Tribolium castaneum: one gene and its partners. The main gene of each other region encodes a partner of the protein of the gene in region 2 in a complex. Links are inferred from orthologs where the notes say so. Each region holds a gene or a part of one and is shown on either strand. Other genes may lie near its edges.

Region 1 (3,078 bases), on a different chromosome or scaffold from region 2:
AAAAAAGTGAAAGTTACTTGAGAATTCTATTATCTTATATCATCAATTTCAGTTCTATTTTCAATCTCTTAACACTCAAAATCTTGCAATTTAAGTGATGCGATAATTTTGTGGTGAGTCTAGTTTCGTGTTAATATCTTGGAACCACAAAATATTATACACAACATAGAACAATTTAATAATGTTTTAATATTTTAAAGAATAAATCGCTTGTTGAAAAAAGTGTAAGGAACAAAGTTGTAGAGAATTAAATTTCCTATAAAACAGTTTGCGACAACATATTTCCATTTTCAACGGTGTAGGTACAATGTGTTTTTAAATGATTCTTGGTGTACGTGTAATAGAAAATTTTATTCTCCATAAATTTCTTCGTAGGATTTTTCTTGTGTTCTTGATTTGTCCATTTGTTTTTAAATTAATTTAAAACGACTTGGCGCCGAGACAGTATAATGCTCAAAGCGCCCTCATTTTTACATTTTGGGTACGATTTTGTATCTCGTTTCGTTTCCTAAGCGACAGTCTTCCATAACCCGAAAAAATGATTTTTACAGCCGAATTGCTACGCCAAAGTCATCACAATCGAGTCGCAAAAGAAAATAGTGATCTACTCGAAACAGAGCATAGGTGTGAACGAGGAAATTACTTACGATTACAAATTCCCGATCGAGGACGAGAAAATCCCGTGTCTGTGTGGCGCGGCCACGTGTCGAGGAACACTTAATTAAAGGGAAACAAGACAGACTTTAAACCGAGTTAGTTACTATATAAAATTTAAATTATCTTTTTTATTTGTATATATGTTTCTGTAAATAGTACATGGTTATTTGTGTTTGTTTTTCATCACAACCGCAAATAAAATTCATTAACAGCTCACTTAACTATCCTTACTCCCCGCTTTTGTCAAATGCTGCATGTCCAGCTGTGATTGGGCGATGTCGCTCAACGCCGCCTGGATTTGCTCCAAGAGATCCTGACCTTTACGAACTATAGCCTCGAGACGCTCAGCAGACTCTTGATTGTCTGATTCCAAAATTCGCAAGCTTTGCAACTGAAACAGTGTTTAGTCCGCGGTCGGACCAAGTCATTGTAGATAGGTACCTGTAATTCGGTTGAATTTTCCTCGCTCGGGAGCGATTCAATCAAAGTATCTATGTCTTTGGCACAGCGCGCAATCAACGTTGTGAATAACTGGACGTAGTCTTCTTGGTTCTGTTGCTGGGGGGTTTGGGAGCCACTCCTGTCGAAGTTTGGGAATTTGCTAGGAGGGGCGAACTGTTGCAAAATCCCAATGCTGTTGCAGAAATGCTCGGCTTGCTGCGACAACACGAATGCAATTAGTGGTACAGTCTTAGGGGGAATTACCTGATTTATGCAATCCTGGAGCTGGGTCAAACGATCGGCCATTGAGGTTATGTTACCCAATCACCGACAAGTGATAAGACCCGAAATCACATAAAAACCAACACTGATGATAATTTGTTATCTCCCGAGGTTTAATATGCGACAAAATATATTAATTCGTACGAAATAACTAGAATAATACTAGAAGGTGAATGACATCTTGCAAAAACAAACACACATGATTGCCAACCCAAATCTGGTTGGGTAAAGTCTGCGTAAATTAATCCCACCGGGCCGAAGTTACATTTTAGTTATCACGCCTGATTTCAAATATAGTAGAACGGTTTTATTTACAAATTAATTGGTTTTATTTAATCAAATAATAACGCAAAACCGGGGAGTAATAGCCAACCCACGAGTTGAAAGTCCCCAAGTCAGTTTTTGACAGATGTCAAATTATTATTATTATTAATGAAAAATAGCAATTACAGGCCTGTTCAGCGCTTTAGAAATGTCCGGGGCCAAGCCGTGGGAGCGACCATGGTCCATGGACGAAATAATCCAAAATTCGGACAATTGGAATTTAGCCGGAGATGTGGCCCTTTTGAACACTCTCAAGGCTTTTGCAGACGTATTTCGCATTTTTGGCCCACATTGAACCGTTTCAGCGTTCAATTTTTAGAATCTCCTGACTCGAACAACCGAAATCAACAATAACTTGCAAAATTTGACAAGCTCCCTGTCTGAGACAAGTCTCCAGTTGAATATAGCCCAAAACGAGTTTCAAAGTTTGCGAAACAGCCAGTTTATTGAAAGTCGGGTTTATGAGGACGATGAGACTTTGGAGGAGCCGGTTGAGGCGAAAGCCGAGGAGAAAGAGGTTGATAAGACTGAGGAAATCAGGTTGGCGGCTTTGAAGGGTTTGGAGGTCTTGGAGACGTATTTTGAGAAGGTTGAGGTGTCGGTCAGTGACAGTGAAGACGACGATATCGACTTGCCCAAGTAATTTTTTTCTAAATAATTTACAAAAACTAGTTTGTCTTTTCCAGTTTTGTCCTCAGACCCAAAGACTTGTACCTGGAGCGCCCCCTTCCGTACGTAATCGGCTCAGAAGAGTGGCAAAAGACGTGGCACGTGGGCCTGGAGGACTCGTCCAGCGATAGCGAAACTGAGAAAGTCTCAGATAATTTCAGTGAAAGCGACTCAGAATCAGAGTTGCCAATTATTCCCGACAGAACACAGGTACTTTACACATGTTTTTCCACTGGTTGAGTTGCACTTGATCCATTCATTATCATAATTTTATTGGTCTATTAACCGGCCAACCGAATTTTTTGTTTAGTCGCGATCCAGTCGCCATGGGCAATATCTGGTTCTTTTTCCAGATCAAGGGCACCTCTGATACCAGTTCTGAGGACTTGCGAACTGAACCGAAAAATTTCGTCAATTCGAGTGATAGTGAAAACTCAGTTCCGGTGCAACCAACTACCAACTTTGCCGAAGAGTTGGCGGCGAAATTGGGGAACGTGATTGATCAAGAGTACGTCAATCGACGGCCAATCCAGAAAACGCCACAATACGGTAATTGTTTTTGGAAGCGGACCGCAGACTAAACGCTAATTCCAGATAACCTATTTTTCGATGAACCGCCGCCTTTGGACGAACCTAAGGGGTTGTTTTCAGGGGGTAAGGGCTTGTTTGATGACGATGATGAAGCCACGCCCCCAACCCCCAAAC
Region 2 (4,329 bases):
GATTGATTTATTCAGCCATTTGAAGTAACGAATTAATGGTACCGTCTTTATTGCCCCTGTTGGCCTCAAACACGGTCTTAATCACCTCTTTATCGATATTTGGAAACATTTCCTCGATTTGTTTGAGCTCGGATTCACTCAAAGCAGGCGCGGCTTCAGTAGGAGGCGCTGTAAACACCTTCAAGGGTGTGACATTGCCCCCTGTTACGTTGGGCACCACCATAACAGGCGCCGGTGGTTGATATTTATATGAAGGGAACACTAGATAACTTAACACGAGATTAATCATTCCTTCGACACCTTCACCCTGTTTCCCATTTAATGGGTACCAATCCTCGTGGGTTTCCCCTGCAAGTACCTGTTGGGGGATCTGGAACTGCGTCCAGGCGATGAGTTCGTCCATCGTAAATGAGCGTTCGTCGAAAATTTCTAACGTTATGGTATTAATACCTTGAGGCAACAAACTGGAAATGGAAAAGTAGGGACTTGCTAGTTTTTGAGATGTGTTTACCAGTGAATAACTTTGTTCCATCGCGGGTTTTTGCCGCCGTTCGGGTCCGTATGCGTCTCGTAAACGCAATGCCCGACCCGAATCCGAGCGTAGGGGTCCATTCTGGTCATTCCGTAATTTTTTGCGAGCTTAGCTTGAGCAACAGTGATACTGAGCCTCCCAACGACATTTGTGTACTGTTGGCCACCGCTTAGCTGGTGGTGCAGTGCTATGGCTGTTTGGCGATCCGCTGCCTCTTGTTGTTGCTGAACCGAGGTGCTGATACGGAGAAAATCCTCCGGGAGGGGACCAAGGAGGACCTAAATTTCGGCATTAAAGCACGATTTTTTAAATCATTGGCACCTACCCGACTTCGCCTTTCTCTGACTTTGTCCGTTAGCGCCGATGCCATGGTGTTACACTATTTCAGATAAAGTAAAGACGCATTAATTCACTGTTTGCGGTGTTTGATGACAAATAATCAGCTGTTCACGGCAGACGTCAACACGCCTGACACTAGGGGAAAAAATATAATCCCAGTCTGGGATTAAATTTTATTAGTTTCTGGCGAAAATAGCCAGGTAGTTTTGGTTAAATGCAATCTACTAATAATTCTATTCAATTGATTAGTTTTCCAGACAACATTTTTGCATAATTTGGCTAAAATAAAATTTCATCTGAATGAAAGTGTTGCCATTAACTTGACGTAACATCCCTAAAAATTTGACAGGTATTTTCAATATGGCGGGGTTTGGTGCTTGTATTAAATTGTTTCATTAAAATTGTTTAATATTTTGACTAAACAATGGTTGTGTGTCCAGCTGATCATGGCTTACACGCCGATATCGTTTTTGTTATCGAGGGAACTGCAGTGAATGGTGCTTATATAAATGACCTAAAAACCAATTATATCATCCCTTCGTTAGAGTAAGTTTACTTTTTTTTGTAACTTCTGATGTATTACATGTTTTTCTCTACTACTGCTAAATTGTTTTTATTGCCTATTTGGCTTTACAGTCCTACTTGAAGTTATTTGATATTCTAGATATTCTTTACCTTTCCCAATTTTCTTTTGCACCCGTCACTTTTTTCATCCATTCTTTTCCCTTACCATTTTCGTTTAAAACTTTTTTTCGTATCAAACTTGCACACTCTTACCTCCACAAACTGTGACACTCTCCGCTTAATCTGCACACTGTTTCCCAATCTTCTCTCCAATATTCGTTCTCGCTTTCATTTCTACGTCTAAATCTGGCTATGATTTTCTTATCTTTACTTTACATCTTCCTTAAGTATGAGAGGAGTTCATCCGTCAATAAGCACGGCATATTTTACGTATTACACCTCGATTCTTTTTTCCATGTTATTCTTTCCTGCCTATCTATGTCCAAATCTCTCAATTTCAGTTCCTCTTCCATTGTTCGTCCCCTTTCTCTTATTCTTTTAATTTCTATACACACTTATTCCTTCTTCTCATAGGAGTCTTTTCGTCCTTTCCATCTAACATTTTCATTTGCTTTTTTGATTTCTGTTCAACACTGTTGCATTCACGCAGAATTCTTAATTTCTCTTCAAATCCCACCGCTCTCTTTCCTTAATCTACTCTTAATTTTTTTCTCTTCCTTTTTTTACTATGTACTCTGGCATTTGTTTATTTAGCCTGTTCGATCTCGTATTTCTTCCATCCCCACACTTCTGCTCAAAATAGTCCCTACATTACAGTGCTTTTCCCTAAGCTATTATTTTTCTCTTGAAATTTTCACTAAATTTACGTTCTCCCAAGCTTCAAACATTTCCTAAAACCCCATTTGTTTTTTTTTGCTGCTTCTTTTATATGGGCTGTGTCTGACATCTTGCTACTTATTACTCTCTTCTAACTGAAATAGTGAAGATTGACTAAAATAATACAGTACATATCTGATTCAGATACTTCAAGTCTTTCACTTGTTCTATATTTTTCCTTCCCATTGCCATTCATCCTCTTTTCCGAATTCCCATACTACTTTTCTTTCCAAATATCATCATTTTTGTTGTATCTACATCTACATTTCCAATCTTTTATTTCTCTGTTTTTTCTCGTGATGAATTCTGAACGGATAGTTGAACAAGGTTTGAGGTACTGAGAAATCAGTGTAACCTTGCTTTGTTATGATAAAAATTACACCCTGATACGAAAAAGTAGTAGTAGTAGTTTTTAATTGGAGAATATGTTCTTGTAACTGAGGGACTTTTAGATATTTTAGTCAGGGGAGTATTGATGAGAGCAACTTCCTATCAGAAGGGATTAATTCTTATTACGGAATTGTGGTGTATCAGGCTGCTGATTGCTTACCGCACCCCAGTAGCGACACAATTGGGCCCTTTGTAAGCCCCAGTAAGGTATTAAATGCCATAGACAAACTTGAGTAAGTTCTAACTAGGAAAAGGATCACTTAATGTAAAAATTATTTCAGACTTATAGGAGGTAAAGGCGAGTCTCATGCAAACATTGCTGAAGGTTTAGCCACAACCCTTCAATGTTTTGACGAATTGCAGCAAAAACGTGACAATAACGGCAACATTCAAAAGCATTGTATTCTAGTGTGTAACTCGCCCCCTTATTCTCTAGGGGTTTTTGAAACTCATGCTTACACAGGGAAGACAGCTGAGCAACTAGCAGCTATTTTGCAAGAAGTAATTAACCAAGTGTCTTCCACCAAATTTGCATAATTAACTTTCAGAAAAATATCAATTTGTCGATTATCTCGCCGCGCAAAATCCCCTCGTTGTATAAACTGTTCGAGAAAGCCGGCGGTGATTTGAGCGCTTCCCAGACGAAAAACTACGCCAAGGACCCCCGTCACTTGGTCCTCCTGCGCGGCTTCAGCCTGAAGGAGCGCCCCCTGAGCCCCCCTGCCGGTACCGCCACTTCCGCCCAAACCCAAATTTCTAACACTACCATTCCTATAACCTCTCTCCCCAGCCCCTTAGCCAGCAATGACAGCCCCATCTCGTCATCCTCGTCCGCCAACTCCGGGGTTCCCTCAGGAGTGGGCCCATCGCCCGTCTATCGGCCGCCCAGCGCTCAAGGTATAACCCCCCAACACTCACAAAATGTTACACCAGGCATGGTAGGTATGGTGAACGCCCGAGGGGCCATGATGGGCAACAACCCCATGAACATCCCGCAATTGCCCGCACCGCCGGGCTACCACCAAGCGAACCGGCCCAGATGGCCAGCTATGTTGCCCCCAACGCAGCCCAGGTCGTATCTGCCGCCCAACCAACAGGTTAATACCACCCAAAGTAGCGCACTGATTGCACAGCTGACACAACCCCCGAATTCTATGCCGGGGACTGGGGTTAATCAATTTGGACAAAGTAAAAGAGAAGTTTTTGAGGTGTTTGAGGTAAATTGCGTGTTTTAGTGGGGAATAATTCGCCGCTTAATTCGCAACAGCAACAACCCCAAATGAAAATTAATATTATGAATCAGCAAAATCAGCAACCAAATGTTCAGACGTCGATGTCGCAGAATCCCAACAGTGGGATACAGACCACCTCAATTGCGCAGGTGTCGCAGCCGAATCAGGCCGGTACTTCCCCTGGACAGGTATTTATAAACAAAAAAACATCTGTTCAAAAAAAGGCTTCTTCGATCTCAGAAACTAAGAGATTTATCAGAAAACACATTATTTACTATTTTCTCTTAGTATCGGAACTAGTGCACCCCTTTGTTAGGGATAAAGGGATATTCAGAAGACTAGTTCCAAAGTGTACATTCTCCATTTTTTTAATGTAAGATATATGAGCAGTGTGATGTAGTTTTTAAAACAGAGTTTAAAAAAAATAAATTTTAA
Region 3 (2,867 bases), on a different chromosome or scaffold from region 2:
GGAACGAAACAGCTGCAGAATACAGGTGCTGCATCAATCGGGCCTTTGAAGACGACGGACAAAAAACCAAAATCATCAACTGCGAGGGGGCCAAGTGGGACGTCGACCTCCCTCTGCCCAACTGTACTAGTAAGTTTGATTAGACGCTAAATGGAATTGACCTCCGACCCCGCTTTTTAATTTTTAATGAGATAAAGTGTTGTGTGCGAACAAAGATAACGCCGAAACTCCACATTTCGTGCTTTGTGCGAGTTTGCTAGTTTGGATAAAACAAAGATAAACTGAACGTAAGCCCTACAAAACAATTTCGCATTCGATGAAACTCCCAAACAAAATCTAATTATATTATGGAGTCTACGCCTCTGCCTATTGACTTGTTGGTGTTTCCGTTCAACAAAACGTTCCCGTATTGCTTTATCTCTCTCGCGATGCTCAGTTGTCAACGGAAAATCGTGTAGGAACCACGTGGATTACCTAGAGGCGTTTTTCGCGATAAAAAGAATTGTAGGAGTTTGCACTAACGAGGCAAATAGTGAGTGTTTCTAGAGTTTTTTTTCATGTAATTGTATTTTTAGCGTCCAATTAGACAAAGCAGTTGAGGTTATATTGTATTGTTATAAAAAAAATCATTATGAAAAGTTTTGTTGTTATCAAATTGCGGAATTGCGCTTCAGACCACATTCATTAAGTCAGCGGCGACTCGTGAACAAGGCTAAATTTACTCATTTTTTCAGAAAAACTTCAACAAAAGCCTCTGCTAACTGTTCAAGACATCGGAAAATCGAAAAATATCGAAATGGTTTCAGGTAACGCATTTTATGATTTGTTTAGGTTGCTGTTAATTTTTTTTCAGATGTTTTAGCACCGGCCTTACTCATAGCGGCTTTATTTTTGATAAATTTTATGGTTCTATTTTACATTTATAAAATTAAGCAAAAGTAAGTTGCTAATTTAGACTAATTTTTTTTCATCCATTGATCTTGTTTTTTTTTTAGACACGCTGAAGAATTTGCTGACGAAGAATTAGGAACGTTGCCACTGTCAAGTTGTGAGAAAGCCTCGCCTTGAATTATTTATTTGTAAAAATGACACTTTTATAATAAAAGTTTTATTTAATAATCGCTATTTTATTCCACCACTTTGAAAGTTGCAGTTTGGCGCGTAAGAACACTAGGAATTTTCGTTAGCTAAGGTTTACCAAAATAAAAACGCAATTTTCAAAAAAATTTATTGTTATAAATCAAATCCAAAAATACGGTAAATATAAAACATATGTTTACATTATGATTCAAGAGATAAGGGGTCAACGACTTTGAACTTGTAGCATTTTTGACACCTAGCTAAGTTGGCACCACTGACGATCATTAAGCTATAATAACCTCAATTTAGCCCCCAAAAATCCACTTAAAATGGGGGTCACAGTGTTACAACAGTTCCCCACAGAGAACCGCACGGGGCCCTCCACCATTGAGCTCCTCTCGAAGCGAATTTCCGCCCTGGGGGCCCTGCAACAGGGCCAGTTTCTCGTCGATTGCGAAACGTTTACTTCTTGTGCCGCTTTGGGACACCAACGTACAGTCCACGTCCTTCACAATTCCGAGCAGCCGGCGACTGTTTTTTCGATCCTTGAGACAGGCCAAAAGACCATTCCTCTCGCAACTGACGGCCTTTTTGATCTCCTGATGATGAAAATGTCCGGTTTTTACTCATCAAAAAAACAGACTAAGGCCGAGTCGAAGGGGCCGCGATACGAAATCGGTGATTTTTGTGTAAAATTGGGAACAGTGACTGTAAGTCAGAACTTTCGGGGGGTTCTGGTTGAAGTAGAGTATCGACCATGTGTGGTGCCTGCGATGTGTTGGGAGTTGATGCGGGAGTTTCTGCAGGGGTTTTTGGGGTCGTCGGTGCCTGCAACGCCCCCACCGTATTTGCAAAACAGGATGCAGGAGTTGTATACCCCCATTGATACAATTCATCAGTATTTGGAGCAGTTTACGATATTTAGGAAGGCCCCCGGTTTAAGGCCCTAATTTTAAGCTAATTTATTGTAAGGTTCAAAGTTTTTGTAAAGAAAAAATTAAATAAAAACAATTTTGAGGTTATATTGTCTTTCTCTTTTACTCCCACACATTAGACTATTATGCGTCTTTGTCTAATTACATAATTTGGAAAGTTGATTGTTCACCTCTATCAGCACTTACGTAGGGCAGAATGTGATAGTGGTGATGAAGCAGTTTTTTTTCAATAAAACAGCATGAAAACATAATCATGCGTTTGCGGTAATTGTTCCTTACTTGAGAGAAAAAGCACAAAAATGAGTGAGATTGAGAAAATCCGGGTTGGATCCCGGAAAAGCGAGGTATTTATCACGTGTTTGTTATTGTGGGCTCTTTTTCATTTGACATTTTCAGCTGGCTCTCATTCAAACGCGACATGTGATTTCACTGCTCAAAAAAATTCATCCTGGGAAGGATTTTGAAATTGGTGAGGTTTCGCAAAAAATTCCCAAAATTTATTTATTTATTTCAAAAATTTATTTTTAGTAACAATGAGTACATTAGGAGATAAAGTCCTAGATATACCGTTACCAAAAATTGGTGAAAAATCTCTCTTCACCAAAGAACTTGAAGCAGCTTTAAGTACAGGCTGTGTAGATTTTGTTGTACACTCATTAAAAGATCTTCCAACCGTATTACCTCCAGGAATGGCAATTGGGGCTGTTTTGACTAGGTTTTTCTTAATTATTATTGTAATGATTATAATTAGCTTTCGTAAAATTTAGAGAGGATCCGCGGGACGCTCTAGTGTTGCAAAAAGATCATGACAAATATTTATTAGAGACTTTACCAGAGGGAAGCGTCATTGGC
Region 4 (3,384 bases), on a different chromosome or scaffold from region 2:
CCGGTTGTATTGGCACACCTGTCAATTGCGAGACGTAGCGTTTCTTATAACCTTAAAGTTACTTCGCCCAAACAAACAAAAAATGGGCTCAAAGAAGAAGAAGCGCGTTTCCAGCAGCTCCAGTTCATCAGATTCAAGCAGCGAAAGCTCCGATTCATCACCCGAACGGCGCCCGAAACGTAAAAGCAAGAAAACCGAATCGAAACCTGAGACTGAAGAATCGCCGAAGAAAACCAAAACGAAGGCAAACTCGCATAAAAAACACGAAACTCCGCCTGTGGCAAGTGACGAGGCGAATAAACAGGCAAAAAAGAGGGACAAAAAGCCAACAAATGAGGAAGAAACCGACAGGTATGATTGTTGGTGGTTTTAAGGGAAAATACTAGTTGTGTTTAAAGGAAACGCAAGCGGAGTCCTGTGCCTGAAAATCGGGACAGGCGGGAGAGGGACGATAAGAGGGTCCGGGACGATCGGGGGCGGCATGACGACAGGAGAAACCGCCCCAATGACCACCGTTCTCACGATAACAGGTTCAGAAACCGGCGTCCTGATTACAGAGACAGGGAACGGGATTACAGGAACCGACGGGACGATAACAAAAATTACCACAACCGGGAGCGAAACAGAGAGAACCATCCAAGGCGGCGTAGCAGAAGCGCCTCCTTTGACCACTCGAACGCCCGTTGGGGCCGCGAGTCGGACGACAAAAAATCCGACAAGAAGGAAAAAGACCAGAAGGAAAAGCAAAAACCGAATTTCGGTCTTTCGGGAAAACTTACCGAAGAAACTAACACTTATCGTGGCGTTGTTATAAAATATAGCGAGCCGCCTGAGGCTTGCAAGCCGAAACGTCGGTGGCGGTTGTACCCTTTTAAGGGCGAAAAGGCCCTTCAGACTTTATACATACATCGCGAAAGCGCCTACTTGATTGGGCGCGATCGCAAAGTTGTTGATCTCCCTGTAGATCACCCTTCGTGCTCAAAACAACACGCAGCTTTGCAGTATCGCCTAGTCCCTTTCACGCGTGAGGATGGCACCACTGGTTTGTGGGACAGCTGGTAGTGTGTTGGGTTTTTCATTGTTTTTTTCAGGGAAGAGAATAAGGCCGTATTTGATTGATTTGAACTCGGCTAATGGGACTTTTATCAATAATAAGAAGATAGAGCCGAGTAAATATGTGGAGTTGTTGGAGAAAGACGTGATCAAGTTTGGGTTCAGCTCAAGGGAGTACGTTTTATTGCATGAGAATAGTAAAGATGAGACACAGGATGACGATGTGAAGCAGGAAGAGCCGGCGGTTCAAGTCAAGAGTGAAGAGAATTGAATTTTGTGTATATATTTTAATTTAGCTTAGGTTTCTTTCAATAAAGTAATTTTTTCGATTAAAATTCCCGCTCTTACGATTTAGTTATTCTCTGGGCAGATGGCATCGCAGTGTGCGCGTTATTTTGACATTTGTGTATTTGAGGTTGTGTTCGAAATAAAAACTGTTCAATTGATTATTTCGTTTAATATTTAAACCCGTGAGTGTTTTTCCCCATCATTATGTCGTCTCAAATGAGCACGAAGGAAAAACTCCTTTACATCCTCGACGATATTGAGTTAATCTCCAAGTACGTCCCCCTTTCGGGTCATTTCGTATGGTTTTATTTGCGTTTTTTAGAGAAATAATCGAGAATTCAATCGCCCCCAAGCACCTCAAGCTTTCCGGCCCTGAATACGCTCAACTGACCGAGCTTTTGGTGGCCAAAAACACCGAACTGACTGAAACCCTTAAACTGGCCGCTGAACAGGCGCAAATCGACAAAAAAATGGACATCTTGAAGGCCGAAGTGGAGCGTCAGGACAACGACATTAACAACTTGCAAAAACAGCTCAAAGAGGCCGAGCAAATCCTGGCCACTGCGATTTATCAAGCCAACCAGAAACTCCAGTCCATTTCCCGCGCAAATAAACGGCCGGTCTCGTCCGAGGAACTTATCAAATTTGCGCACAGGATTAGCGCGTCTAATGCGATATGTGCCCCCTTGACGTGGCAACAGGGGGACCCGCGCCGGCCGTACCCCACCGATATTGAGATGCGGTTGGGGCTGCTGGGGCGGCTGATGAGCGATCCAATTAACGGGCATTTGTTGCAACAGCAGAACAGTTTGTCAGATTTACATAGACAGGGGCACCCGGGGGAAATACCCGCCGCGCAACAAAATCAATTTGCATGGCATCCCTCGGGGGAGATTCACATGAGTGTGGGGCAAGGGAGTGTCCCGATGGACACGCGGAACCATAAACAGGAGACCGAGGATGTGGAGGTCATGTCCACGGACTCCAGCAGCAGTTCCTCAAGCGATTCTCAGTAGTTTTGTGTTTTTTCCCTGGACTTGATTCATCATATTTATATAAAAAAATTAAGCGAGTTTGTGTGGAGAGTATACCATGAGGGGAAATAAAATGATAAATCAATAGATTGAGGCGGCTATTTGGGGAAAAAGTCTTGTCTGCTTATCTCATCAATCAACTCTTCGTGACAGTTTAGATAAGATCTTTGTTTGCGTCTGACGAATATTGTTTTCTTATGTTTGTTTATAATGGAAGGAAAATAAAACACATTTCATTGTAATACCAACGTCTATTATTTAATTATTCCCTACAAGCTGAAGTGATTCAAATTTATTGTTTGATGAAATGATAATCACAAAAATGAAGCAGTTTCTCATTTTCTGAAATTTCTAAACAACACTCACTTTCTATAAAAACAAGTTTGTTGTTTTGATTGCGTCTTTATGATAGGTACAAATTTACAAGTAGGTTTTTTGATTTAAATTTTTATCGGATATGTGAGTTTTTTATCACAGGGTCGTAGTGTGATAATTTGAAAATTAAACCGCGTTATTACAGCAGAGCTAGGGCTGAAAAACGAGAGAAAGTCACCGAATATTATCGATATTCTTAACAATGACATTATCGTATCACAGTATCGATAATGATAAGTTTCCAACTGTAATCAATTTTTCGAAATACTTTAACAAACGAGTTATTTATTGTCATTATTACGCGATATGGGTATCAATAAATCAATAACATACAGGCGACTCATTTCCAAGGCTTGATCAACTGGTGGTGCTTGAGCTTAACAATGCACTTTGATTAAACAACGCTTTAATGAATATCGACAATAACTGATTCTTTTTTAACAGCTCTACTCCCATTATTACCATGTGTTAAGGTAGTGGCGATGCACTTATTGTAGAACAGCACAAAGTGTCTCAACTTTCCAAAAATAATAGTACCTTTGCAACAAACGGAATTTCTCTTGTTACCTAATTTACTCAAATATCAAGAAAAATACTCTCATTTGATTCGCCTAGAGCACGTTTTCAAAGGACT

Evidence for each region.
Region 1: mediator of RNA polymerase II transcription subunit 25 (region 2) and MED21 share a complex: the UniProt entries of both Homo sapiens proteins name them as parts of the mediator complex. The link is inferred for Tribolium castaneum from reciprocal best matches to the Homo sapiens genes MED25 and MED21.
Region 3: mediator of RNA polymerase II transcription subunit 25 (region 2) and MED20 share a complex: the UniProt entries of both Homo sapiens proteins name them as parts of the mediator complex. The link is inferred for Tribolium castaneum from reciprocal best matches to the Homo sapiens genes MED25 and MED20.
Region 4: mediator of RNA polymerase II transcription subunit 25 (region 2) and MED4 share a complex: the UniProt entries of both Homo sapiens proteins name them as parts of the mediator complex. The link is inferred for Tribolium castaneum from reciprocal best matches to the Homo sapiens genes MED25 and MED4.

What each region holds. Positions count from the first base shown.
Region 1 is NC_087401.1:8,393,360-8,396,437, reverse strand, and holds MED21 (mediator of RNA polymerase II transcription subunit 21), read right to left. Parts: upstream 1,593-3,078; 5' UTR 1,405-1,592; coding exon 1,363-1,404; intron 1,315-1,362; coding exon 1,099-1,314; intron 1,049-1,098; coding exon 875-1,048; 3' UTR 766-874; downstream 1-765. Other genes in the region: Set1 (histone-lysine N-methyltransferase SETD1B), read left to right, coding at 552-725; FAM21 (WASH complex subunit 2A), read left to right, coding at 1,853-1,972, 2,024-2,343, 2,391-2,583, 2,727-2,922, 2,968-3,078. UniProt on the Homo sapiens protein: Component of the Mediator complex, a coactivator involved in the regulated transcription of nearly all RNA polymerase II-dependent genes.
Region 2 is NC_087402.1:9,090,129-9,094,457, forward strand, and holds the start of mediator of RNA polymerase II transcription subunit 25, read left to right. Parts: upstream 1-1,197; 5' UTR 1,198-1,295; coding exon 1,296-1,417; intron 1,418-2,724; coding exon 2,725-2,895; intron 2,896-2,943; coding exon 2,944-3,163; intron 3,164-3,210; coding exon 3,211-3,559; intron 3,560-3,604; coding exon 3,605-3,850; intron 3,851-3,897; coding exon 3,898-4,082; intron 4,083-4,329. Other genes in the region: toll-interacting protein, read right to left, coding at 8-464, 512-810, 858-902. UniProt on the Homo sapiens protein: Component of the Mediator complex, a coactivator involved in the regulated transcription of nearly all RNA polymerase II-dependent genes.
Region 3 is NC_087398.1:429,459-432,325, forward strand, and holds MED20 (mediator of RNA polymerase II transcription subunit 20), read left to right. Parts: upstream 1-1,273; 5' UTR 1,274-1,409; coding exon 1,410-2,030; 3' UTR 2,031-2,102; downstream 2,103-2,867. Other genes in the region: uncharacterized protein LOC103313212, read left to right, coding at 1-129, 735-806, 854-938, 996-1,068; Hmbs (porphobilinogen deaminase), read left to right, coding at 2,315-2,359, 2,412-2,484, 2,544-2,730, 2,783-2,867. UniProt on the Homo sapiens protein: Component of the Mediator complex, a coactivator involved in the regulated transcription of nearly all RNA polymerase II-dependent genes.
Region 4 is NC_087397.1:1,784,082-1,787,465, reverse strand, and holds MED4 (mediator of RNA polymerase II transcription subunit 4), read left to right. Parts: upstream 1-1,423; 5' UTR 1,424-1,545; coding exon 1,546-1,613; intron 1,614-1,663; coding exon 1,664-2,357; 3' UTR 2,358-2,619; downstream 2,620-3,384. Other genes in the region: uncharacterized protein LOC661495, read left to right, coding at 83-351, 399-1,042, 1,092-1,324. UniProt on the Homo sapiens protein: Component of the Mediator complex, a coactivator involved in the regulated transcription of nearly all RNA polymerase II-dependent genes.